Caenorhabditis elegans: one gene and its partners. The protein of the gene in region 2 purifies or fractionates together with the protein of the main gene of each other region. This does not show direct contact. Each region holds a gene or a part of one and is shown on either strand. Other genes may lie near its edges. The genes, in order: snu-13, C43E11.9, F10E7.5 and Y48A6B.3.

Evidence for each region.
Region 1: the proteins of C43E11.9 (region 2) and snu-13 fractionate together in Caenorhabditis elegans (co-fractionation; one large-scale study listed by BioGRID). This does not show direct contact.
Region 3: the proteins of C43E11.9 (region 2) and F10E7.5 fractionate together in Caenorhabditis elegans (co-fractionation; one large-scale study listed by BioGRID). This does not show direct contact.
Region 4: the proteins of C43E11.9 (region 2) and Y48A6B.3 fractionate together in Caenorhabditis elegans (co-fractionation; one large-scale study listed by BioGRID). This does not show direct contact.

What each region holds. Positions count from the first base shown.
Region 1 is NC_003280.10:10,655,560-10,661,301, forward strand, and holds snu-13 (Small nuclear ribonucleoprotein associated homolog 13), read right to left. Parts: upstream 3,068-5,742; 5' UTR 3,056-3,067; coding exon 2,900-3,055; intron 2,820-2,899; coding exon 2,589-2,819; 3' UTR 2,468-2,588; downstream 1-2,467. Other genes in the region: lact-3 (Beta-lactamase-related domain-containing protein), read right to left, coding at 464-860, 1,627-1,750, 1,955-2,109; rsp-7 (putative splicing factor, arginine/serine-rich 7), read left to right, coding at 3,651-3,770, 3,839-3,989, 4,038-4,156, 4,473-4,649, 5,512-5,645; marc-2 (RING-CH-type domain-containing protein), read right to left, coding at 4,688-4,769, 4,819-5,258, 5,302-5,400. UniProt on the Caenorhabditis elegans protein: Binds to the 5'-stem-loop of U4 snRNA and may play a role in the late stage of spliceosome assembly. The protein undergoes a conformational change upon RNA-binding.
Region 2 is NC_003279.8:4,264,977-4,271,142, forward strand, and holds C43E11.9 (60S ribosome subunit biogenesis protein NIP7 homolog), read right to left. Parts: upstream 2,992-6,166; coding exon 2,869-2,991; intron 2,820-2,868; coding exon 2,518-2,819; intron 2,472-2,517; coding exon 2,354-2,471; 3' UTR 2,223-2,353; downstream 1-2,222. Other genes in the region: mus-81 (Crossover junction endonuclease MUS81), read left to right, coding at 133-197, 244-371, 432-862, 1,430-1,750, 1,806-2,198; cdc-6 (Cell division control protein), read right to left, coding at 3,291-3,794, 4,092-4,826, 4,874-5,053, 5,124-5,189, 5,240-5,311; acin-1 (SAP domain-containing protein), read left to right, coding at 5,759-5,893, 5,945-6,085, 6,134-6,166.
Region 3 is NC_003280.10:7,109,045-7,115,224, reverse strand, and holds F10E7.5 (Ribosome assembly factor mrt4), read right to left. Parts: upstream 3,245-6,180; 5' UTR 3,234-3,244; coding exon 3,206-3,233; intron 3,158-3,205; coding exon 3,099-3,157; intron 3,052-3,098; coding exon 2,974-3,051; intron 2,925-2,973; coding exon 2,746-2,924; intron 2,699-2,745; coding exon 2,380-2,698; 3' UTR 2,243-2,379; downstream 1-2,242. Other genes in the region: cutl-5 (ZP domain-containing protein), read left to right, coding at 1-451, 500-567, 619-735, 786-934, 1,250-1,431; F10E7.6 (uncharacterized protein), read right to left, coding at 1,633-1,986, 2,034-2,141; F10E7.9 (Amino acid permease/ SLC12A domain-containing protein), read left to right, coding at 5,215-5,324.
Region 4 is NC_003281.10:11,003,850-11,009,947, reverse strand, and holds Y48A6B.3 (Putative H/ACA ribonucleoprotein complex subunit 2-like protein), read right to left. Parts: upstream 1,727-6,098; 5' UTR 1,718-1,726; coding exon 1,604-1,717; intron 1,554-1,603; coding exon 1,394-1,553; intron 1,349-1,393; coding exon 1,131-1,348; 3' UTR 1,019-1,130; downstream 1-1,018. Other genes in the region: exos-1 (Exosome complex component CSL4 homolog), read right to left, coding at 429-531, 579-697, 754-897; fipr-17 (FIP (Fungus-Induced Protein) Related), read left to right, coding at 2,346-2,489. UniProt on the Caenorhabditis elegans protein: Required for ribosome biogenesis. Part of a complex which catalyzes pseudouridylation of rRNA. This involves the isomerization of uridine such that the ribose is subsequently attached to C5, instead of the normal N1.

The DNA of each region.
Region 1 (5,742 bases), on a different chromosome or scaffold from region 2:
AAAAAAACGGAAAAACAAAAACTTTAAGATTTTCAATATAAAAAAGTAAAATCTCAAAAATTTCTCGTTTTTCGATTACAAAAGCTAGAGATCGAAGAAAAAATTTTTATTTCACTAATCCTGAGAAAACTGTGAAAAATTCATGAAAATTCCGCAGCCACAAAAGTTTGAAATTACAGTACTCTTTAAAGGCGAACGCAATTTTTTATTAAAACAAAATTGCTAATTTTCAGTTTTTCGGCACGAATGTGTAATAGGGAACTACTTATTTATAGTTTTTCAATTAAAAAAAAGTAGAAATCGAATATCTTCGTTTTTCGGTTAAAAAAGACGAAAAATCGAAAATTTCCATTTTTCGAGTAGAAAAAAAGAGAGAAATCTGGACTTTTTAGTTTTTCGATTAATAAAAATCGAAAAAAAAAACCGCCACATTTTTGCACCTAGGTTATAGAAAACTACTTACCCAATTTCGTTGCAATTTCTTCTCTAAAAAACTGTCCAATTCCACGTTTTTGATCATCCGTATGTCTAACAATTTGATCAACTAGCCATCCAAAAGTGTATGCATGATAACCAGTCTTTGTTCCAGGAGCCCATTTTGGCTCTTCTTCTTCAATAATTTGCCGCATTTTTTCATGATCCGCGGCGATTTCTTCAGTGATTGGAGTGTCAAACCATGCCATTCCAGACATATGAGAAAGTGCCATATTTATAGTAACATTATCTCTTCCATGAGTTCCAAATCCTGGCCAATACTTGGATACTGGGTCATCATATCTCAATTTTCCTTGCTCGTAGAGCAGTGCAACTGCTAATGACGCGGCAGCTTTTGTAGTCGAGAACGTCACTGTTATTGTGTCCTGAAACAATCAATTTTTTTAAAAATTTTTGTGTTTTGCTGATATGTCACAACTTTTTTCAAAAATGTTTTCTCTGTTTTTGTGCCATTCCATTCAATTTTATAGACTTCAAAAACCGTTTTGAACCGAAAAACTCCCCGTATCAAATTGATATTATTATCAGTTCATATCAATCTGACGACAGTGGAAAAATATATGTCGAAGCTATGAGGGAAACCGACGATAAATTATTCCAAATAAGGGCAAAGTATTAGATTGGGTTAAAGTTTGGAAATTCAGGTGCGAAATTTTGAGTCAAAAATACTGTCTCGACACGACAAGTTTCATGATTTTTTTAATTACTTAATACATTATGGAAACAAAAAAAGCTTACGAAAATAATGAGAAAACTACGATAAATCGATAAAAACTCCGCAACAACAGATGTTAAAAGTTACAGTATTCTTTAAAGGCGCACGTCTTTTCGCATTTATTATAAATGTGTCGTGGTTAAACCTATGGAACCGTATTTTTGTGTGCACCTTTAAACAGTACTGTAATTTTGAACTTATATTGCAGCGGAATTTTTCTTATCGATTTTTCGTAGTTTTTCGATAAAAACAAATTTACTTATTGGAAAAAAAACCAAATCTCGAGGAAAATTATTTTTTAATCGAAAAAAAACCTGGGGAACCGTATTTTTGGTGCAAAAAACCCAAGATTTATAGTAAAAAAGTTTGAAATTGAAAAATGCTTGATTTTATTTTTTTTGTTTTCAAAAATCTACCTCAGCCCACTTCCTTGCCGCCTGCTTATCAGCATATCCACCCCATAAATCGACGACTTTCTTTCCATCAACAAATACAGCGAATGCTGATCCTTCGATTTCCCATCCATTTTCGAAATTCTTTCTGTAAAAATACAAGTTCCAGGATTTTTGCAAGACATTTTCCTTTTCTTTTTTTTAAAATAAAATAAAGATGACGATAGAAAAAGATTATTTGCCTGTACGCATGCCGGCAAAGTAAATATTAATTTCAGTTCAGTCAAACACATTTGTCACTTCACACGGGTAGAAAAATGAGAAAAAAAGAGAGCAGGAAGGTCGAACTTACTTAAAAACCTCTCGAACTTTCTCGAAACGTTCATCGACAAATCCACTAACATCGGATTTGTGATTTGAATATAACCGATCACATACAAAGCGATAAGTTACAGATAATAAAACTGTGGCTAGAAATAGTTTGAAGAGTAGAGAAAACTGTTGCATGTTGGTGGGAACACGGAGCGGCGGGAATGGAGAGACAGAGCACACGGAGATGGGCGGTGCTTGCCTTGCCAGAAACCGTCTTTTCTCCCGGAGGAAGCGACTCCCTGTAGTTATCAGCGATTGCCTTTTTTTTGGCGGCCCTATCGGGTTGTGACGGCGTTTGGGGTGGAATTAGCAAGCCAATGGTTAGGAAGAGACACATTCTAGGGCAAACGGGGGTCGAATTAGAATGCAACCGGTTCCGGGAGGTTTATTTACTCGCATCATCATACGCCAATGAAGTACTTGTGTGTCCAAGATACACTTTAGAACAGTGTAGCCGATTATGCAATTTGATAACAATCAGATGTCCATGTTTCGCAGAAACGTTCATTCTTTTTCAAAAACGATGTATTTGCAATTTGGGACAACAAAACAATGAATGGATTATCATATAACAACAATGAGGTAACGTAACAACAAATTGATAAAAGAAGGATTTAGATGAGAAGCTTCTCAACGTCCTCCTTGATCTTCTGAATTTGAGATTTGAGCTGAGATCCTTCGTTTTGAGTGATTGAAGCAGCGATCACTGGACGAGTGACTCCACAAGCGCGTCCGAGGGCAGCCTTGCTGCGAACAAAGACGTATGGAACGTTCTTGTCTTCGCAGAGAAGTGGAAGATGGAGGAGAATCTCCAGTGGCTCGGCATCGGCGGCCATGACGATGATCTGAAACAATTCAATTAATTTGGTTCGAAAATTGATTTTGAAAATGGGAATGCAATTCAACATGGTTACGATACACTTACCTCAGAGATTCCTCTGTTGAGAGTCTTGGTGGCCTCGTTGGCTCCCTTCTTGAGCTGTTTGTAGTTCATCGCTTGCTGGACGAGATCCATGAGCTTTTGAGACAAGTTGGTATCGGCCAGTGGGAAGGCCTTCGGATTGACTCCATCATCGGCCATTTTTCTTCTTTTCTGAAATAAAGATGGTTGAAAATTGCTACAATGCGAAAGAATTATTTATCGATTCAAGAGAAAAAATAATAAAAACGATTTCAAAGCTGTAAATTCAAATTTTTACGATGATTTGCACTAGTAACATATCTGAAAGTAATAGATAATCAAAATTCCATTTATTTTTAATTTATTGTACCAACTTATTTAATTTCCGAAGAAAAATACAACGGGCAACGGGAGAAACAAAAGAAAAGAGAAAAAAACTACTTGTAATTTTCGAAAAGGGCCCAAAAAGAGACGCAGACAGTGGACGGGTCTCGCAGCGACAAGATGTTGGCACGCTGCCAAACATGCAGTGATTCTTTTTTATTCGAATTTGGCTGCATTTATTTTCGATTTAACCTGAATTTTACATGTTTTATCTGATTTTTATCGATTTTAAACGAAATTTCGATAAAAATCTAACTTTTTCTAATAGTTTATGCCTTTTCGATAGATTTTTACATGTTAATTTTGAAATTACGTCGCCGGTTTAAATTTATTGAACTACATTTTGTTTTTCTATTTTTCAAGACGAAAATTGATTATTTTATTTTCAGGAATGTCGGGGGAGGAGAAAGAAAAAGTAAAAATTCTCCATGTCGCCAACATTTCGACATCGGCTACCAGGGATCACATCTACAACATGTTCAACTATCTCGGAAAAATTCAGGATTTGAAGGTTGGTTTATTATTCCAAATTTACACATTTTTCGATTAAAAATTTCAATTAAAAATTTATTCTTTCAGGTCTATCCATCAGAAGGTAATATCACAGCTAATACTCTCCTGAAAACTGCTTTTATCAAGTTCGACGACGAGCGATGTGTCGAAGTAGCTCAGCATCTCACCAACACAGTCGTCATCGATTGCGCGATAGTCTGCCTACCATATCCGAATCGTGAGTTTTTTGAAAGCTGCATTTTTTCATAAAGTTTCATTTTTTCAGCTGTGATTCCGGACGAGGAGAGTTTTTTCAACAGTGGTGGATCTACAACGGCTGGTCAGCGACAGCTCCCACCTCACGTCACCAATAAAATTCAAGAATCTGACGATGGATCTGCTTTGGTAAGTTTATTTTCCCACTAGTTTTCCAACTAGCGTCTGGTGGTAACGGACGTTACTTGTTCATTTTACAGTTCTACTGGCCACTACCCAAATGACGAATGCAGTAAAATCCCGAAAGCGTAATCCAGAAAATCATCAAAAAACTTTGTTAGTACTCGCCGAATGATTAAATTTTCAGTTTCAGTGTATCCTCGCCAATCTATGCTGCGCATCGTCGGATATGAAAGCAATTAAATTTAGAAATTTTCAAATTCCTGATATTTTAGAAATTGCAATATTTCTAGTTTTCGCGCCGTCTAATTATTCCATTTTTCAGTTGATTACAGTCGATCCGACACTGGAGCAGCTCGGACTACCGGCTTATCCACCTCTACCGGCTGACACGGATTCTGCCAAAGTCGAAGAAATTCGAAGAACAGTCTACGTTGGAAATCTTCCGAAAGGTGTTGATGGAAACGAGGTTCTCGAACTGTTCAACATGTATTTTGGAGAGGTAGGTTAAAAACGATATTTTTGAAAGATTTATTTCTATCAATGTGCATTTATTGGCATTTTCATTCCTCTCTTGCTAGATCGACTTGCAATTGAAATTTGGCTTGACGGGCTTCCAGATCTAGAAAATATCAGTTAGAAATCAAGTTATCAGAAACATAGAAAATTACCTATCCTTGAACTTAAAAATTGTATTATCAATAAGCCATTTCTCGAAGAAAACAAAGCACATTGCTCCATAGTAAAGAAAATTGAACCAAAATGTCATCCACCAAAAGCTGCGCATCATTCCTGTTCCAATAGCCATATCGACATTCTCGATCATCGAACGGCTTCCATAACGAAGTCCGACATATGCGAATCTCAGCATATACACCACCCACGCAAGAGTACATCCGAATTCCATATAGTCTTCGAGCTGTTCCGAAAGTGGTCTCGGCAGAGTAATTTTGTTCCAATCTTTCAATCCTGCCGGAATCAACTCAAACATATCCTGACATATGGTACATTGAATGTTTGATGTTGTACGGACCCATTGCTCCAAGCATCCATTGTGAACGTAGGCGACTGTTCCGCTACAAGAGCATGGCTTGATCAGACTGTCGGAACTCTAGAAATATATTGCTAAATTAGAAATTGAAAAGAAAAATTACCGTATCGTTATCGAAACATATTCTGCAGATTACGGTTTTTGTAGAAACTTCCTTCGGTGACCGAATAGTTTCTAAGTTTCTCTCGATTATTGTGCACATAATTTCAAAACGAGTAGAAAGTTTGCAACCGACAATTTAGAAATGAATTAGAAATTTGAAAAAAATACAACATTTGTATTTAACAAAATTAAATATATTTTCACGTTTCAGGTAATGTACGCCAGAATGGCCTCGGGACCGGATGCATTGCCGTGTGCATATGCTTATGTTGAATTCTCACAGCAAGCGTCAGTGTGCAATGCACTTCAAAACGATGGATTCGAGTTTAAGGAGAGACCATTGAAGTGAGTTTAAAGTTTTAATTTTTTTAAAGGTTAATGGTGATTTTCTCAAATTCAGAAAAAAAAACCATAAAAGAAAAACAAAAAAAAATATTTTGAC
Region 2 (6,166 bases):
AACGAAAAATGCTTGAAAATTGCAGACATTTCCGAAATTAATTAAATTCCTAACGAGACCCATGGCTCGGGGGCGGAGTGTTTTCGATTAGCCATGGAGCGCGTTGAGATATTCCTAAATTTTTCTATTCAGATGTCGAATCAATCAAAACGGGTCACAGTGAGAATTGAGCATTCGAAGAACACTTTTTTCGAAAAGTAATTTTCAAATTTTGATCCAAAGAAATTATTCGTCAATTTTCAGAGTTTTAAAATTCCAACATCAAGAGCAAGAAGATCGGAAGCTCAAATATGTTCTGCACAAAGCTCACGAGAATCTGAGAAAGTGCCCATTCGAGATTCTGACAATTGTTGATTTGAAAAATGTGCAGGGTATTAATAAATAAAAAAATCGAATTCCAGATTTTTAAAATCTATATATTGAATTTTCAGGAATCGGAGAGAATATTGCTCTAAAATTGGAAGAAACGTGGAACGTCGCCTGCCGAGAGAACAATGGCCAGGATCCAACTCTACGAAGCATCAAAAAATTCACGACAGACGATTATCGCCGGTTCTTAACAAATCGAAAATCAACAACAGAACGGATGAAGGATGCGAAAAGATTGGAAAAACAGAAATCAACGAAAACCATTGTTGATATAGAAAATGAATTCGAATCGGATGGAGATGATGACAAGCAACCAAGTGTTCCACTCACTAAAACGAAAAGCTTTCAAGTTTCGAAGCCCGTCCAGCCGAGCTTGATACGATCACAAAGTGGAAATCTTTCGTCTTCTTCGTCTACTTCCTCATCATCATCTAATTCATCAGATCCATTATCTTTCAGACTTCTCACTTGTCGACCTTTTGAGCAGCCAACTGTTAGTATTTAAATCTAATTTTTGCAGAAAAGGATTCCAGAATAGAAAAAAATCGGCAAGTAATAGAAAATCCAATGGAAAATTAAAAAAAAAAGATTTTTGAACTCCCTCCGAAATGAGAACTGTCCGACCAATCAGCGAATAGCTCCGCCCCAGCAATCAGATGGAGTGGGCGGAGTTGGAAGACGCTTATTGGTTGGCTCGCGAGATTTTGCGGTTTTTGCATACGGTACCCGATCTCGAAGCGACTAATATTCAGGAGTACTGTAGCTCCCAACTCCTAATAAGTTGCAGAAACTTCTGCCATTTTTCATAAGTTTTCGTCCGTTCCTTCGAAATTTATCGAAAAAGATTTTGAAACTTGAACATTTTTGAGCTCGAAAAAAAAACATTTAACAATATTTTTTAAAAACGATTAACAAAAATATGCAAAAATCGTTGCAGTGCAAAAAGTGAAATACCAACAAAAAACCAAATTTTCATCAAAAACCCAATGTTTTGGTGTCGAAAAAATGGTCAGCTATTTACTCCACCTTCAAATTAAAAAAAAACGAGGTATTTTTCCAGGTCTATCTAATCGCAGACAATCGTGAGCATCGCAACAATCCACGTTTCAAGTCGGTAATCGAGCATCTCGTGAAAAAAGAAGATATTCGAGTTGATATTCGTTCTCTTTCCGTTGGAGATTACATATGGATTTGTCGAAAGATTGATGGAACTGAGATTGTGATGGATTGGGTTGTAGAACGGAAAACTTGGGATGATCTGCAATCAAGTATTCGTGGAGGTAGATATGATGAGCAGAAAGGACGATTGAATATGGCTCCGATGAAGAATCGAGTTTATTTGATTGAAGCTCAACATAAAGGAGATGTTGCTTGCGAACAGGTAGAATATAGAATTAGAATCTGATGATTTTTCAAAATTCTAACAAAAATTCCAGGCCGTAGCATCAACTCTTTCCAATGGAGGATATCTTATTCAAAGATGCTCTGATACTCGAGACACAGCTGCATTTCTCAAGGAAGTGACGATTCGTTTGCAGAACAAAGCGGCCATAGAAGAAATTTCGGGTGTTCCATTCAGCCAACTCCAGAATCTTCTCCAGAAAAAGAAGGCGGAAACTGTGAAAGAAGCTTGGGTCCGACAGCTGATGGTTTGCCCGGGAATGTCTCAGAATCGAGCCGAAGCAATTGCCGATCGATTTCCATCCATGGTATCCCTGCTTTCATATTTTCGTGCAAATGGAGACGATGCACCGATTCGACTTCTTCAGCTTTTACCTCAACTAACTAGGCCTATTACTCGTAACCTTTTCAAATTTTTTGTTCAATAAGTGAATCCTGAATGAATCAGAATTAGATTGAATTTTTTATAATTGAATGAAAAATTTTGAAAGGAAGACCAACAAAAACAACATCAACAAGAGAATAACAATGAAAAATGAAAAATTGTGGAATTTAAAATTTTTGAATGGAGACCAAAATCCGATTAAGCGAGATGACTCTCATTTCTGAGATACTCTCCAAGATCGCATTGATGTAGAACGACGAGAGCAGTTGGATCGGCACGCTTACTGTCTGATGTTCCTTTCGCTGACACTCCGAATCTAGAGAAATATATTTAATTAACTTGAATATTAAATGTGAACATACCCCAATGGAACATCGGTCATCGAGTATACGACGATTCCAGCATGAGTTGGAGTTCCGTCGGTCATTCTTGCGATTCCAGACTTGAGAATGTTGTTTCCGTAAAGGAATTGCTGCTCGGCGTTCGGCTTCAGCCACACCTTGAACTTGGCATACGGCGCCAAATAGTCGAGAGCGGTGATTTGGAGATGGAACTTTTTGCTTTTGGTGAACTTTCCCAAGCAAGTTCCAAAAGAGAGAAGTGGCTCACGGGCAATGCAGGCGGCTTGACGCATCAGATTTTCCGAACAGTAATAGACACGTTCCTGAAGAACAAATCGAGTTTTTATTGGATAAAGAACAATTAATTAATACCTTGTGATTTCTGAAGCAATAATCTCCATCATTTCTGTCGATGAGCATCGAGACATTGTCTCCGATGAACGAGGCCAACTTGGCAAATACAAGCGATGTCTCTTCTTCTGTCAGTGGACGCATCTGAATAATTAAGAAATGGGTAGAATAATTATAGACATAATAAAATAAAGATAAAAAATTTTGGAATATAAAACCAAAATTCAGAGCAAAAAGTTTTGTAATAAATATGGAGAACGTTTATAAATTACACAGAACGTGTACCCGAAGGTAAAGGGACAGGTATTCAGAAGAGAGAACGCGTTGAAAGGAAGTGAGAGGAATGATAAAGTTTACAGGGAAATGCCAAAGTAAGAAATTCAAAACTTTTTCAATATTTCAATAAATAGAAGTGGATATAAATTATGTTACAGGAGATGCGATTAAAATTGAAGGAGTCCAATTTGATCAAGCATCGCGTTGTCACTGATAGCCGATTTTGCCGTCGGAGCATCAACTTGAAGAACTAGCTTTCCGCCGTTTAACTGACGGACGAAGGATTGAGATTCGAGAGTCTGGAACGCTGAATGAAGTTCATCGTCATCAAGAGCGGGCATTCGAAGAGCCTCGCAAGCTTTATAATAGGCACGGAGCAGGGAATTCCGATCGAATGTGCATTTCTTGTTGGCAGAAAGTGTTAAAGAGACAGCTAGAAGAATTCGAGGTTGAAGTGGAAGACGAGCACGAGCCAATGGAGACGAATAGACATTGTTGATGATTCCAAGAACTTCACGACATCCATTAACTGGGGTACCAGGAACTTTTGAATCATCAGGAATCATACGACTTTTTTGTTGTTTGAAGATGTGGAGTGCGGTACGAAGATCTCCGCTCATTGCAGCCACTTTACGAGCGGTTAACTCGATTGCCTTTGCGTCAATTGAAGTCTGAAATTATAAAATGTAAAATACTAAATGAACTTAGGAGCACCGGTTCTCTGAGTTTTTCGCTTGGAAAGAATCAAAATGTGCGCAAACGAAAGAATTTCATAATGAGACTGCTGAAAAGTTCTTAGAAAATGGGCGAAATTGGTGATTTTATTTAAAAATAGCTTTTTTCTTCGAAATTTTTTAGCCACCATAATTGTTTTTTTGAAAATTCTCACTACAAAATTAGTTTTTTTTGGTACATTTTGAGTCTATACAAGCCGAAAACCGATACTCATCCTTTAAATTTAAACTTACCTCCTCGTTTTTCATTTTATCATTCAAAATTTCTACGATGTCATCTTTCGTATACGGTTCAAAAACGAGTCTTTTCGGTGGCTTCGCGAGCATCAATTTTGGAAGAAGTCGTTCTGTCAAATCAATCGAATTTGCAATTCCAAGAATGATAATTTTTCGAGACAACGTCTCTGGCCATTGAAAAGCTGCGTAGAGTGCAGCGTTCTTTCGATTCGCGAGATGATCAATCTCATCGAGAACCAGTACCAGAGGAGTTTTGAATTGCTTCACGTGCTTCTCAAAAATTTCTTCATTCGGCTTTCCGTCCAAATCCAAAGATTCGAAAATCGTTTTGAATAGTGCTGATTTGGTATTTGTTGAAGCGCAATTTACAATACAACTTCGAACTGATTTTCCCAATGATTTAAGAACTCTCATTGTGGTCGCAGTTTTTCCAGTTCCAGGTTGTCCACTGACATAAATAGACAACGAAGTATTCGTTTCTTTACTTTTCATAATCCATAATTTCAGTGAATCAAATTCTTCACGTCTTCCTTTCAAAGCCCCTTCGGAAGATGTTGAAATAATTTCTTCGCTGTCAGATTCCGATGAGCTCTCTTTTCGCGACTTTTTCTCTGGTGTTCCCTGAGATCCAGATCGTGACCTCGACTGTTTTTCCGGAGTACGTGGAGTTGTCAATTGGCTCTTCAAGTTTGTAGCTTTTCGTGGTCTACCTCTGGCTCGTGGGCTTGAAATCTAAAAAATTTAACATTTCAGTTATTCCACATTCCTAGTGCTCTAACTTCAAGTTTCTCGACACGATCTGCTAGCGATGATCCGGGACTCAGAAGCAATTTTCGTTTTTCTTCAGATGCCATCTTTGTTTGGGGCAACAATTCATCTTCGGAACTTGATTCAACTTCTTCGTGAAACACTCGTTCGCTTACCGGCACACGCTTCGTTGTTTTTGACGAGGGAGTCTTCTGGAATAATTGAAGATGTGTTAATTTTTAATCGAATTCTTTCGATATCGAAGCACAATAAAAAACAAACCTTTTTCTCAATTGGTACAGACTGTGTTGATAATCTTGAACTTTTTCGCCGGGTTAGAGAAGGTTTCTAAAGAAAAGTGAAATGACAGCTTAAATTTGAATTTCAAAAATATGTACCTCTGTTTCTTCAGATTCTTCAAAATCACGTGCCCTCTGAGATTTGCGAGTAGATCCGGATTTACTACTCATCTGAAATCATTCGCAATTATCAAGCTTACAACGTAAAGAATTGGGAATTTAAAGCAAAACCCTGCAAAATCGATAAAAACTGAAATTTCTGCTCAAAGCTTTTGAATATTTATGTTTACGTTCGGCTATATGTTAAATTTTAAAACAAAATAAAATTGGAGAACGCCAAAGAAATTAATTACATATCTGGAAAATAAAATAAATTACGAAAAATAGGAGAATCGGTGCGATTTATTTTATTTCTCGCATTAGAGCGCACTTTCCTCAATAATTTTGACGCCAGCGACTATTGCTGACGCCTTTCCCTTTGCGCATTTTTATTTTCGAATTTTAAAACACAATATTTATTTTTTTTCTTTAATTTCCACCATCTTTGAAAAAAAAAAACGTATTTTTTCTCCTAATTGCAGGTTTCGAAACCTAGCTTATCAGAAAAATCGATACAGTATGGCGGACGAGGATATTTTAGTGGACGGACGTCCGTTGTCTTCACTCAAAGTGACAGAACTGAAAGAAGAGCTCGAAAACCGCCAACTATCCACGAAAGGGGTGAAAGCTGTGCTGCAGGAAAGGCTTAGAGAGGTACTTGCCAAATTAGAAATAAAAATGAAAATTCCAAACTAATGCTTACAGGCTCTCGCAGCACAAGGAGACGATCCGGTGGTTGATGAGCAGAATCCGATAGTTGCTGGATATTTGGCAAGGCAATCGGCGGCACTGGCGGAAGCTCGGAAGAGAACAGAAAGTGAAGCATCGGGAACGACCACTCCACAGGTAATTCCATTTTGAGGTTATACTAACAATAAAATATCGTTTTCTCAGAGTGAGGTATCGCCGTCGAAGCAATCAGAGGCC
Region 3 (6,180 bases), on a different chromosome or scaffold from region 2:
ATGTGTATATGCTGATTCTCATGTAATGAAGGATATTGAATCAACACTGGATATAAGTGAAGCTCCGCCTCTTCAACTTTCACCTCAATTCGATGCTCCTGTAATGCCAAAGTGTAATTATTCGATAAGAAAACAAGGAAAAGATGGTCCACCAGTACAGTATGCTTCAATTGGAGACAGTGTATTCCATGTTTGGAGTTGTGATGGAAATCATAACGGGATTCTAGTACAGAATTGCCATGTGGAAGATGGACAGGGAAATAAGATTCTTATTATTGATCAAAATGGATGTGGAATTGATCATTATGTTATGGATACTCCAATATATAATGGAGAACAATCGATTGCATTTCAAGAAACTCATGTGTTCAAATTTGCTCAAAGAACAGTAACACGTTTTATCTGTCAAATCAAGATTTGTATGAAAGGGGATGACTGTAAACGATTATCGGTAAGTAAACTAAACCTTTATACCTCATTGCTGCTTATTTCCTTTTAGCCACCTGAAGCATGTCCGTCTTTAGAAGAACGATTCAACGAAGATCCAGACAAAGGAAAAGTATTTGCGTGAGAAACTGATTCAAATTGCTGGTTTATTACACATCTGAAAAATTTCAGAGATGAGATCCATCCTCCAGCTTCAATGCCTTCTGATTTGACTGGCCCTAATGGAGATACTTCAGTTGAATTTGTTCGTAGAGCACCAGCCAAGGGAAGCATTTACTATGGCGTTGGGTACAACTTTTTCTGAAATTGATTTTTTTTTCAAATCATTAGTGTTATAGTTATAATCCAAAACGACATCGACGTGAGATTCTGATCAACACTGCTCCACGTTCACCAAAACAATTTGTAATGAAAAATGGATATCCAGAAATGGAAATGGTCGGAGAATTAAGAGTTTTCGAGAATCCACAAGATGTTGAGTATTACGGTGAGATTCGACAACTATTAATACTCAGACGCGAATTTTTGAGCCAAAGGTTTTAATAAAACGGGCGTGCGCCTTCAAAGAGTACTGTAATTTCAAATTATCATTGCTGTTGCGGAATTTTCATTGGTTTTTTAAATCATTTTTCGATAAAAACATATTGTGAAATTACAGTACTCTTCAAAAGACGCACGCCTGTTTTCTTTTAAAAAAACATTTGTCGCGTCGATACCAGGTACTGTAGTATAGACCCAAAATTCGCAAATTTCGCGCCTGAGAAATGCGTAAAAATGCTAAGTACTTCAATTTTTTATTCAGAATCCCAACGATCCTCCGCTTCAGCTACATCGTCTGTCTGCGAATCACAATCTTCTACATTGTTCTTCTGTCTTCTTGTTACTGCTCTCGTTGTACTCTCGATCCTGCTCATCTCGCTTTTCTTGCTAGTTTCCTCTCGAATTCGTTCCGGCAAAAACAATTCAATGCATTTCGCACAATGATTCTCCATCTCATACACTGAGATCCGACCTAGTCGTGTTGTCTTTTTATATTTATTGCATTCGGTATAAAATTTATTCAGTTCAAAATTTTCAAATAAACACGAATTTGATACAACAAGGCCATTGACCAGACCCGTTTCCTCAAATAAAATATTAAAAACTAGAAGCTAAAATGGACCTAGTCGAACAGAGGAAATTAACTTATGATTGTTGATTTCTTCTAGCCAGTTGATTTGTCTTCTGCTCGAATTGAATTCGCAAGGCTTCTTCCTTAACATCCACATACTCCAATTGTGCTCGTAGAAGCGCTGTATCCATTCCCTTCTCTTGAGCTTGCTTAATTTGTTCTCGAAGCATTTTTCTCTCCAAATTGGAGGTCAAAATGTGTGGTGGAGCGCTCCATATTTCGTCCAAATCTGATGGTTCTCTGAGCCAACCGAAATAGATTACAATTGCTATAAGACTTCCGATAGCTGATAGCACTTTTTTGTTGGCATACGCGTCTGATGAGTAGTAATCTGGCTTGAATTGTGGCATTCCTCGAGATCCACGACCCTGAAAGACATCTACTAAAATAATTATTTATGCTTCGAGGTAATTACTTGAAATGCGGCACTTTGTGTAAACTTCGGTTCAGGTGCGTTTCTCTTGGTTGCCAATCCTCTGGCTTGAGCTAATATTGAGGAACGAGATAACAAAACCCTCCACATGTTCCTGAACAATCAGCTTTCTCGTTGGTTTATAATCATCATTGGATATTTAATAAGTTTGGGATTTAACCTCCTTCTATATTTATCAATATTAATACTCTGAAACAAGTAACAATTTATTGGATAAACAAAAAAACAAGATGATAAACGACAATTTTCGGATGGAGTGGGTGTTTTCAAATCAAGGAGAATCAGAATCAAATCAACAAATTAACAATAAAAGGATGATTAGCAGAAGTTAAGCATCAAGCTCTTTGAAGCCGTCTTTCTTGTTCCAGTGAGCTTTGAAGATAAGACGGAATTGAGACATCTTCACTTCGAAGTGCTTCAAGATTTTAGCCTGCTCCACAGTCAGCGGTTCGCCTTCTTTGCACACCTCAAACTGTTGGTAGAGGGTGATAACTCCTTTGTCAAGTTTCGTTGGGAGACCAAGTTTTCGCAGTTGTGGCTCCATAGAGAAGGCAAATTGTGAAATTGGTCCTTCTGGTAGAACAACTGTCTCTGTGGCAACATCTCCTACACGAGCGTAATCTTCTTCTGAAGCTTCGGAGAATTCACTGAAGATAAAATGCTATTAGAGAAGCAATGGTTACTCAAAACTTACGCCTCAACTTCCTTTTTGGACATGTTGGTGAACATGAGACCGCATTGACCCTTCAGAATTGCACTGGCTTTGTGAAGCTGATTTGCGTACTCATCAGACTTCTGTTTTCCAAGAGCGATAGAAATGACATTGTTCTTTCCGAAGAAAAATCTTGAATTCTCCTTGTACTTTTGTCTGATCTGTAATTCAAAAGTAATCAAATTTTAATTCAATCTGATTTTAACTAACGGCAATGAATCGTGTGCTTCTCATGTTAGCAATCGTGAAAATGAAAAGGTTTTTGTACTGATCGACACTTGCACGGACCTGGAAAAAAATAATTATTTAGTCAGCACTTCACTCTTAAATTTTACCTCATTAACCAAATTGTTCTTTGTGTCCTTAGTCTTCTTCTTGACTTTTGTGAGTGACACTGAAATATAAAAAGTTTGCCTATAATTTAATTTTACAACAAAATTACCATTTTTATCTCTGCGGGAACGAGCCATTGTGTAGAGTACTGCTGAAAATTACAATTTAATTGCAATTTAAACTATAAAAAGCTGAAAAGTAGCAGTAACAACATAGGAAAAGTTGAAGAAATGAAGAAACAAGAAAAAAAAACAGAGAAAATGATTGTGTGCAACTGCGCGTAGTGGTGTTTGCGTACCTTTGCACACCGTAACCAAAACTAATATTCAAGTTCATTTAAAGAAGTCTCAATAGCGGAGAAGATACAAAAATTGGTTGACATTGTCAGATGCTATGATTTCTTTAAAATAGGTTTAATGAGAATGTAGTAGCGGTAACCTTAAAATAAGTTTCATCTTTTTATGGTTTCAAACGAAAAAATATCAGAAGGGGATATGTAGAATTATAGATCCAACACGAAACAACACGAAACAAAACTTTCCGAGTTCCCTATGTGAAATAATACATGCTTTCTGTATCAGTTCTTTGAGATGGAATATCCACGTTGAAGTTTCAGACAGTTTAGACTGAAAATCTAGATCAGTTTCAAGTTTCAGAAAAAAAATTGGAAGATGGTAGGTCCCTTCTATATCTGAATATTCCCATAAGATTCATCTGCATCCCAATTAGCCCAATCAAGTATCGTCAGATGAGAAGCTTCTTCTTCTCTTACTTCATCTCCTTTTCTCGTTTCCCTCACTTCTCTCAATTCACGTCGTCGCGCATACATGCTCTTCGAGCAAGAGCCATGAGCTCTCCAAATCAATAATGCCGTCTCCTCTCCATGTCGCTTTTAAATTCCACTTCTCTTTTTTTCTCTTCTTTTTCATTTCGAAATTGAAACCGAATTTCAGAGGAAATGTCGAATAAAAGATTGAGGAGGATGTAGAGACGCAGAGTCATTTTCTCGTTTTGTTGTGAGCACTGCATTTTTCTTTCTTTTTTTTTTTGGTTCATCCATGCATTCTCTCTATTTTCCAGACTCTTAAATTTGCGTTTGAACGATGAAAAACAACAGGTTACCATAAATTCATTCGATTGCCAAAACTCAATTGTTAGATAAATTCGACTAGACATAGTGCTCCATTTGAATTAAAGCGTATCATCTTTAATACATAAAATCTCAAAATGTAATTTATTCAGTTTCTTCAGTTTCCGGAAATTCCCAATTCCATATCTCAATCATCATGACTCGAATAAAAGATGGAGCACGCTTCATTGAATATTTGAAATTTTTGAAACAAAATCTTGAATTCTAAATTTTCGTTATTTAGCAGAGCTGTTTGCAAATAGTTGCAGTTGAACAAAACTACGGTTTCGTGTCTTGGCACGTGGAACTTTCCAGCTACAGTACCCGCGCGTACTCCGCTGTTCTACCTCGGATACCTCTAGTTTTAAAATATTTTTGTTGCAAATATCGTTAAAGATTCACTATTGGAACTAATTCAAATATGAAAAAGGATAATGCAATGTGAAAGATTGAAGGACTATCCTACTTGCGGGTACGGTAGCTAAAAAGTTGCACTCGTGCCAGGACCCGAAACCATGAAAACTTGAAGTTTTCCGGAAACAAGTAATTAGGTTTTTAGAAAATCAATGAATGACCAGTTCCTAGTAGGATTCTACACAAGATTGATTTGAAAGATATAAACGAAAACCACAAAACTATTCCGTTTAGAAAAAGAACACAGTATTTAGTAATTTAAATATGTATAGTGGTTTAATGGATGTTCATCAACGGTGAGCGTTATATGTTAAATTGAAAATGATTCTGTAAAATTTCTTGAAATTCAATTCTCAATAATAATAATAATAATAATGTATTTTCATAGTTCAGGCTCAAAAAAGATAGATCATATGCAACCAAAATAGTCTTACGAAAAATCGTATCAAATTCTAAAATGTCTAACTTGGTTCTATTTATTGACTTTTACTGATAAATCCTTCAGAACATAATTTCCAAACATTTTCAGGCAACCATCATCGCCGTCTCATTTGGGTTCAGATCCATCTTCCAGAATGAGTGAGACGGGTCCGTCGTCATCACATTCTGTGGTTGTTGAACCACCTGATTCCATCTTTTCGCAAGGAGAAACTGCCGATTCGTCGCAATTACCATGGTGGCAAAGGTACAAGATCATGAGAATTTAGATTGTAACACCTTGGTTGGTCTTTTGAAAAAGTGGGAACCGAGTTTAAATAAAATGTAACATCTAAATTATTTCTTTGTAATTCAAAACCTTCAAAAAATAGGCGGGGTGTCGTAGTAAAGACAACACAGATATAGTAGATTCGCAAAGTTTCAAAATATCGGCACGAGCTCAGTTACCGTGATCGCTATAGCTCCCAAATTTCACAGATTTCTTAACTTGATGTAGAAAATAAAGTTAATGAAATTTCGAATTGTTACGTGCACAGAAAAAACCGCAATTTACATTTCTTCAAACTGACTATATAGTCTCATTCATCATATTTTTCTGTTTCCCTTTAAAAAAGAGTAGCTCTTGAAAATTGAACGCCCAACCGAAAGACACTTTCTATTACTGCTCCTTCTCTCTGGACTTAACACATTCATTATCCACTGGATGGAATGAAGTAATGAAATCTCTTTTTTCTTTTTTTTTCTCTCAATTCCATTCTCAGTTTTTGTTTTCCCCCATTCGGAACCCTTCTGTCTCCAGAGAGCTACTATGCATTTTTATTATAACTGAATTTATTTCTGACTGAAAACAGGAAATAATGCAGAGACTTCCAGCAGATTTGAGTAAATCGTAGGTTTTTGATTTCCCGGAGGAGAACTTGATTATTTTAAATACCGTATTCCCATCTAGTTTTTTCTTGGAAAATTTTCTGTGAAAATTCTGGCAAATTACCAATTCCTTGAAAAGTTCTGTCTGTAAGAAATTTAGAGCAATATCACTCTTCGACTAGGTTGAAATCTAGATAAGATATTTATAGATTTTTTTCTTTAATAGTTGAACAATG
Region 4 (6,098 bases), on a different chromosome or scaffold from region 2:
CGTGCCGCAGGGTTGCGAATTTAAGCTCCGCCTCTTTTTCTGTGCGATACACTACTTGGGTTCTCAGTTTGGGTCTCGCCACGATTTCGGCCCATATCTAATGTTTAAAAAAAAATTTTGCTCGAAAATCGCTTTAAAATAAGAAAAAAGAGGGAAATTTGTTTTTTGAGTAAAAAACCGAGAATTTCAGTTGAAATTTAGTGAAAATCAGTCTAAAATCAATGTTTTTCCGATGTTTCCACAAGAAATCAGGAATTTTGACGACTTTTCTGCAAAAAACCTTAAAATCGGCCATTTTTATGCGAAATTTCATAAGAATTTTCGCAAAAAAACCTAATTTTCTGCTAAAAAAAAGGTTTTTCCCACATTTGTAAGCAGAAATTCTTAATTTTTTCGTGGCGAGACCCACAATCCAGGCAAAATCCAACCAATTCAGGTTCCAGCGGCCTCAGCTTCTTTTTCGGCAGCAGCGCCGAGAACCGCTTCTTGTAAACCTTATCGCCGATACTGATGATGTCACATTTGGCGAATCTGCAATATTTTCTGTCGGTTTTCAGAGCAACGAAAAGCTGCTCTACCGTAATCCGACAGCCATCACTTTGGCGGTGACGATGGCTCCGTGGAATGGGAGAAGCTCATTGTCGAGCTGATCTTCGCTGCGGCGAACTTCGATCACTTGCACCAGGTTGTCGGATTTCTGCAGAAAAAACGGAAATTTTCGGGCTCCACGCTTGCGATTTGTGCGAAAATTACATCTCTGAATCCATAAACGTTGACAAAACCGGCTACCGACGCGAAGATCCTTCGATTCGCCTCGTATAATCCCTTCCCCATTCGATATTCACCAATCGCGTCGAGAACCTTGTCGCCGGGCGCCACAAGCGTTTCGGCGAGCATTTTCTGAGCTGAAAGTGGTTTAGAACGGGATTTGCTGTGATTTAGATTGATTTCGAGTAACAAAATTGAGTTTTGGAAATTACCGAGAAAGGATTAAAGAATAAAAAGAAAAAGTCTGTAGATAACAACAATTTAATGAGTGAACAATTGTGGATAAAGATGGTGATACAGATCAAGAAATTTTAAAAAATCAACAACAAAAAAAAAACAGTGAAAACCAGAGAAAAAACAATTTAGGCGGCCTCGACGGTGAGATGACGGAGAGCCTCGGCGACCTCGTCGTACAGCTCCTTGAAGTCCCCACTCGGCTTGACGAAGATCAGAATCGACGGGCGACGATGTCCGACGGCGAGTCCGAGCTGCTCACGAGATGGAATGTAGACGTATGGGATCTCCTTCTCCTCGCAGATTCCCGGAATATGTGAGTACACATCGATTGGAGAGACGTTTCCTGAAAAATTGAACGTTTTAAGGGAAAAATAGATTAAAATCCTACCAGCAAGAATGCAGATTCCCTTCTCGTTTCTGCGGAGCTCCTTCTGCACGTCCTTGATGCCCTCACGGAGGGTTTTATCGCCGGCGGAGGCCTTCTTGATGAGCTTGTACACCTTCTTGGCCAACTTGCGGTTTGCTAGTGGCTGAGCGATTGGGTTTACCTGAAAATAAGACATTTTTCATTAAAAAACCAGCGAAATTAATGATTTACCAGCTCGCAAAGTGCCTGGTACTCGTCCTTCTCGGTGGTTGGTGCGGTGGCGTCTCCATTGGCTTCTGATACGGTCGACTCGTTCATTGTCTCGTCCAGATTGCGCTTGCCCATTTTTTGATTCTGAAAATTCATAAGTTAATCGTGTAAATTAGCCGCAAAGTTCAATTAGCTTTAGGAAAAGAAAAACAATGAAAATGGGATTTTTGCAACAAAAAATCGATAAAAATCCTATTATGGGTGATTACATAGGAATTTTACGATATTTCATGGCTTAAAATTGATAAATATTATATTTCCGAATTTTAAAATTTAATTTTATCGAAAAAAATCGGAGAAAACCCGCAGAAAACTTCGAAAAATACAATAATTATGTGAAAATGCGTCAAAAGAGAAAAAAGAGAAATCGAATCGAAATGTGCAGTGGAGCGCGTTCGCCCACATCCCAGAGAGTGGAGACGCAGACAATTCGTTGGCGGGAATTCAAATTAGAGATTTTCAGGGAAATTCGTTTTGTTGAATTTTCAACTGTTCCTGACTCCGATTTTTGCAAGTTTTGCAGCCTCTCCGCTTCCCCGAAACGCTCAAACTTCAATTTTTACGAGTTATCATCAAAATCGCAACTAAAATATAACAATTTTATGTCCCCGAACCCCCCACCCGCCCCCTACACGGTACTATAAAAGCCAACTTCTTCCAGAATTCAAGCATCAGAAGCATCTTCTTCTTCTTCATCATCATCATGAACGTCTACTCTGTCTGCGTCTTCGCCATCTTGGCTATTTCTTCAGTTTCTGGAATCTTCTTGCCACAAGGAGGAAAGAAGTGCGGAGGAAGCAGTGGATACGGAAGCGGAGTCATCATCGGTGCACCACGTCCACAATAATTTTTGTGCAGTTTCTGTTGATTACTGATAAATATTGAACATTCAAACTCTGTTTTTTGGGCTTATAATCTTGTTAATCGCGCCGCAGGCCTTTCAGTTTTTAGGGCTTAGGCTTAGGCTTAGACTGAGGCTTAGGCCTAGGCTAATTCCTAGGCTTAGGCTTAGATGGAAAATCTATGACCTAATAAAATGGGACTTTGAAGTAGAAAGTTTGAAAAAAAAAAATCCCAAATTGGAGTTAATCTACGGGACTCTAAAGAAGTGCGAGACAAAATTAAAAAATTTCAAATTTATTTTTCTAGTCCAAAATGCTCCTACATATTGAGCAGTTTTCTGTTAGGTAGTTGAGGCTAGGTAGGCAGGCACGGTTTCAGGGCCTCACGAGAGGCAGGCGGAGGCCGCCTTAAGGTCAGGCAGGCAGGCGTTTTGGAACCCCTAACATTAACAATTCGACTTGCGTTGTATGATTTGAGTGTATTTGCAAACTTATATTTTCCGTGCAAATGATCACAAGGTTTTTAAGCATCGAAGCATACATCTTTGATGCTCCCGCTCCCGGAACTAACTTTATCGATGTGGGTGGAATAAAAGCCTTCCGATCACAAACCTTTTCCTCACTTCGGTTCTTCAAATGAACATTTATTGCGTTTTAGTGTTTGCTGTACTCTCCATCTTGTCGGTTGTTGGAAAACCTCGAGCTAACCATATTCGACCTGCCTCAGACCGACATATCATCATGGGATTCGACCTACCATCCAAGTTTGGATAATTCAAACTGAAGCAATTAATTTATGAATAAAAGTTGAACATTGTCTTGAAAATCTTGTTATGAAATTTGGGATAATCTGGTAATTTAGAACCATATGATTTTCCAGCACTTTTGAATTTTTGAAAAATACAGCTTTTATATATTTCTATCAATTTTTTAAAATACTTGCGGACAAGCTAGTATACTTTTTTTGGTATTTTCTGGTATATTTGGCAATGCTAAACAGTTTTATAAAATAAAAAAGAAGCGCTTCATATGATTTTATAGTACTTTTGAATTTTTGAAAAATACAGCATTTACATTGACATACCAAAAAATAGATTGACATACCAAAAAATAGATTGACATACCAAAAAATAGATTGACATACCAAAAAATAGATTGGCATACCAAAAAATAGATTGGCATACCAAAAAATAGATTGGCATACCAAAAAATAGATTGACATACCAAAAAATAGATTGGCATACCAAAAAATAGATTGGCATACCAAAAAATAGATTGACATACCAAAAAATAGATTGACATACCAAAAAATAGATTGGCATACCAAAAAATAGATTGACATACCAAAAAATAGATTGGCATACCAAAAAATAGATTGACATACCAAAAAATAGATTGACATACTAAAAAATAGATTGACATACCAAAAAATAGATTGACATACCAAAAAATAGATTGACATACCAAAAAATAGATTGACATACCAAAAAATAGATTGACATACCAAAAAATAGATTGACATACCAAAAAATAGATTGACATACTAAAAAATAGATTGACATACCAAAAAATAGATTGACATACCAAAAAATAGATTGACATACTAAAAAATAGATTGACATACCAAAAAATAGATTGACATACCAAAAAATAGATTGACATACTAAAAAATAGATTGACATACCAAAAAATAGATTGACATACCAAAAAATAGATTGACATACCAAAAAATAGATTGACATACCAAAAAATAGATTGACATACCAAAAAATAGATTGACATACTAAAAAATAGATTGACATACCAAAAAATAGATTGACATACCAAAAAATAGATTGACATACCAAAAAATAGATTGACATACCAAAAAATAGATTGACATACCAAAAAATAGATTGACATACCAAAAAATAGATTGACATACTAAAAAATAGATTGACATACCAAAAAATAGATTGACATACCAAAAAATAGATTGACATACTAAAAAATAGATTGACATACCAAAAAATAGATTGACATACTAAAAAATAGATTGACATACCAAAAAATAGATTGACATACCAAAAAATAGATTGACATACCAAAAAATAGATTGACATACCAAAAAATAGATTGACATACCAAAAAATAGATTGACATACTAAAAAATAGATTGACATACCAAAAAATAGATTGACATACCAAAAAATAGACTGACATACCAAAAAATAGATTGACATACCAAAAAATAGATTGACATACCAAAAAATAGATTGACATACCAAAAAATAGACTGACATACCAAAAAATAGATTGACATACCAAAAAATAGACTGACATACCAAAAAATAGATTGACATACCAAAAAATAGATTGGCATACCAAAAAATAGACTGACATACCAAAAAATAGATTGACATACCAAAAAATAGATTGACATACCAAAAAATAGATTGACATACCAAAAAATAGACTGACATACCAAAAAATAGATTGACATACCAAAAAATAGATTGACATACCAAAAAATAGACTGACATACCAAAAAATAGATTGACATACCAAAAAATAGATTGGCATACCAAAAAATAGACTGACATACCAAAAAATAGATTGACATACCAAAAAATAGATTGACATACCAAAAAATAGATTGACATACCAAAAAATAGACTGACATACCAAAAAATAGATTGACATACCAAAAAATAGACTGACATACCAAAAAATAGATTGACATACCAAAAAATAGATTGACATACCAAAAAATAGATTGGCATACCAAAAAATAGATTGGCATACCAAAAAAGTAGATTGGCATACATATATATTTTTATCAATTTTTTAAAAAATTCTTCCGTACAATCTAGCATACTTTCTTTGGTATTTTCTGGTAGAAATTCATAGGCGCGACAAATTTCAAAATTTGCCGAGCTACACATCCCTGCTCTAGACATTCCCTGTGTTTTTTGGCAATCGGTTTTCATGTGTATAATTTCACAAAACCTCCAAGTTTCTTCCATGAATAATGAAACAAATCCATGGATTTCTACATTTTCCAAAAGTTTACACGCCAAAAATCGGGATGCCCATTCTTCATTTCTTCTCTTTTGAATGGGACTTCCAGGTAGGCGAAAGCCCTGAACCGCGCCTGCCTACTATGAAAGCCGTACTCTTGAACAAAGATCATCTTTAGATCTCCTGGGCGCCAATTTTATTTTAGAAAAAATATATCGAATTTTCACCTCAATTTCCTCCTAGCGGTTTTCCGGACCTTGAAATTTGATAAAAAACGAGTGAAAACCCATTAAATTCAAATTTCTCTCGCACTCACAGAGTACTAACCTACGTGTAAATTTGATTCAGTACCACACAAAGGGTTATGCTTCCCGTCATGCTTCACCTATTTTTCCTTCAAAAATTTTTCTAAATTTCTTGGGAAATCCTGAAGATTGTCCTTTTAGTTTTCCCCGAAAATTTTGATAAAATCATCCCCAGGGACGGGCGGTTTTTGTCGGTGGATATATGAAGAATCGGCTTCTCCCGGGGGGTAGCAGTGTGATCACCTGATTTTTGAATTTTCTGACGAAATTCTGCCTTAAAAATCCCGAAAAAACATTTTTTATTGTTTT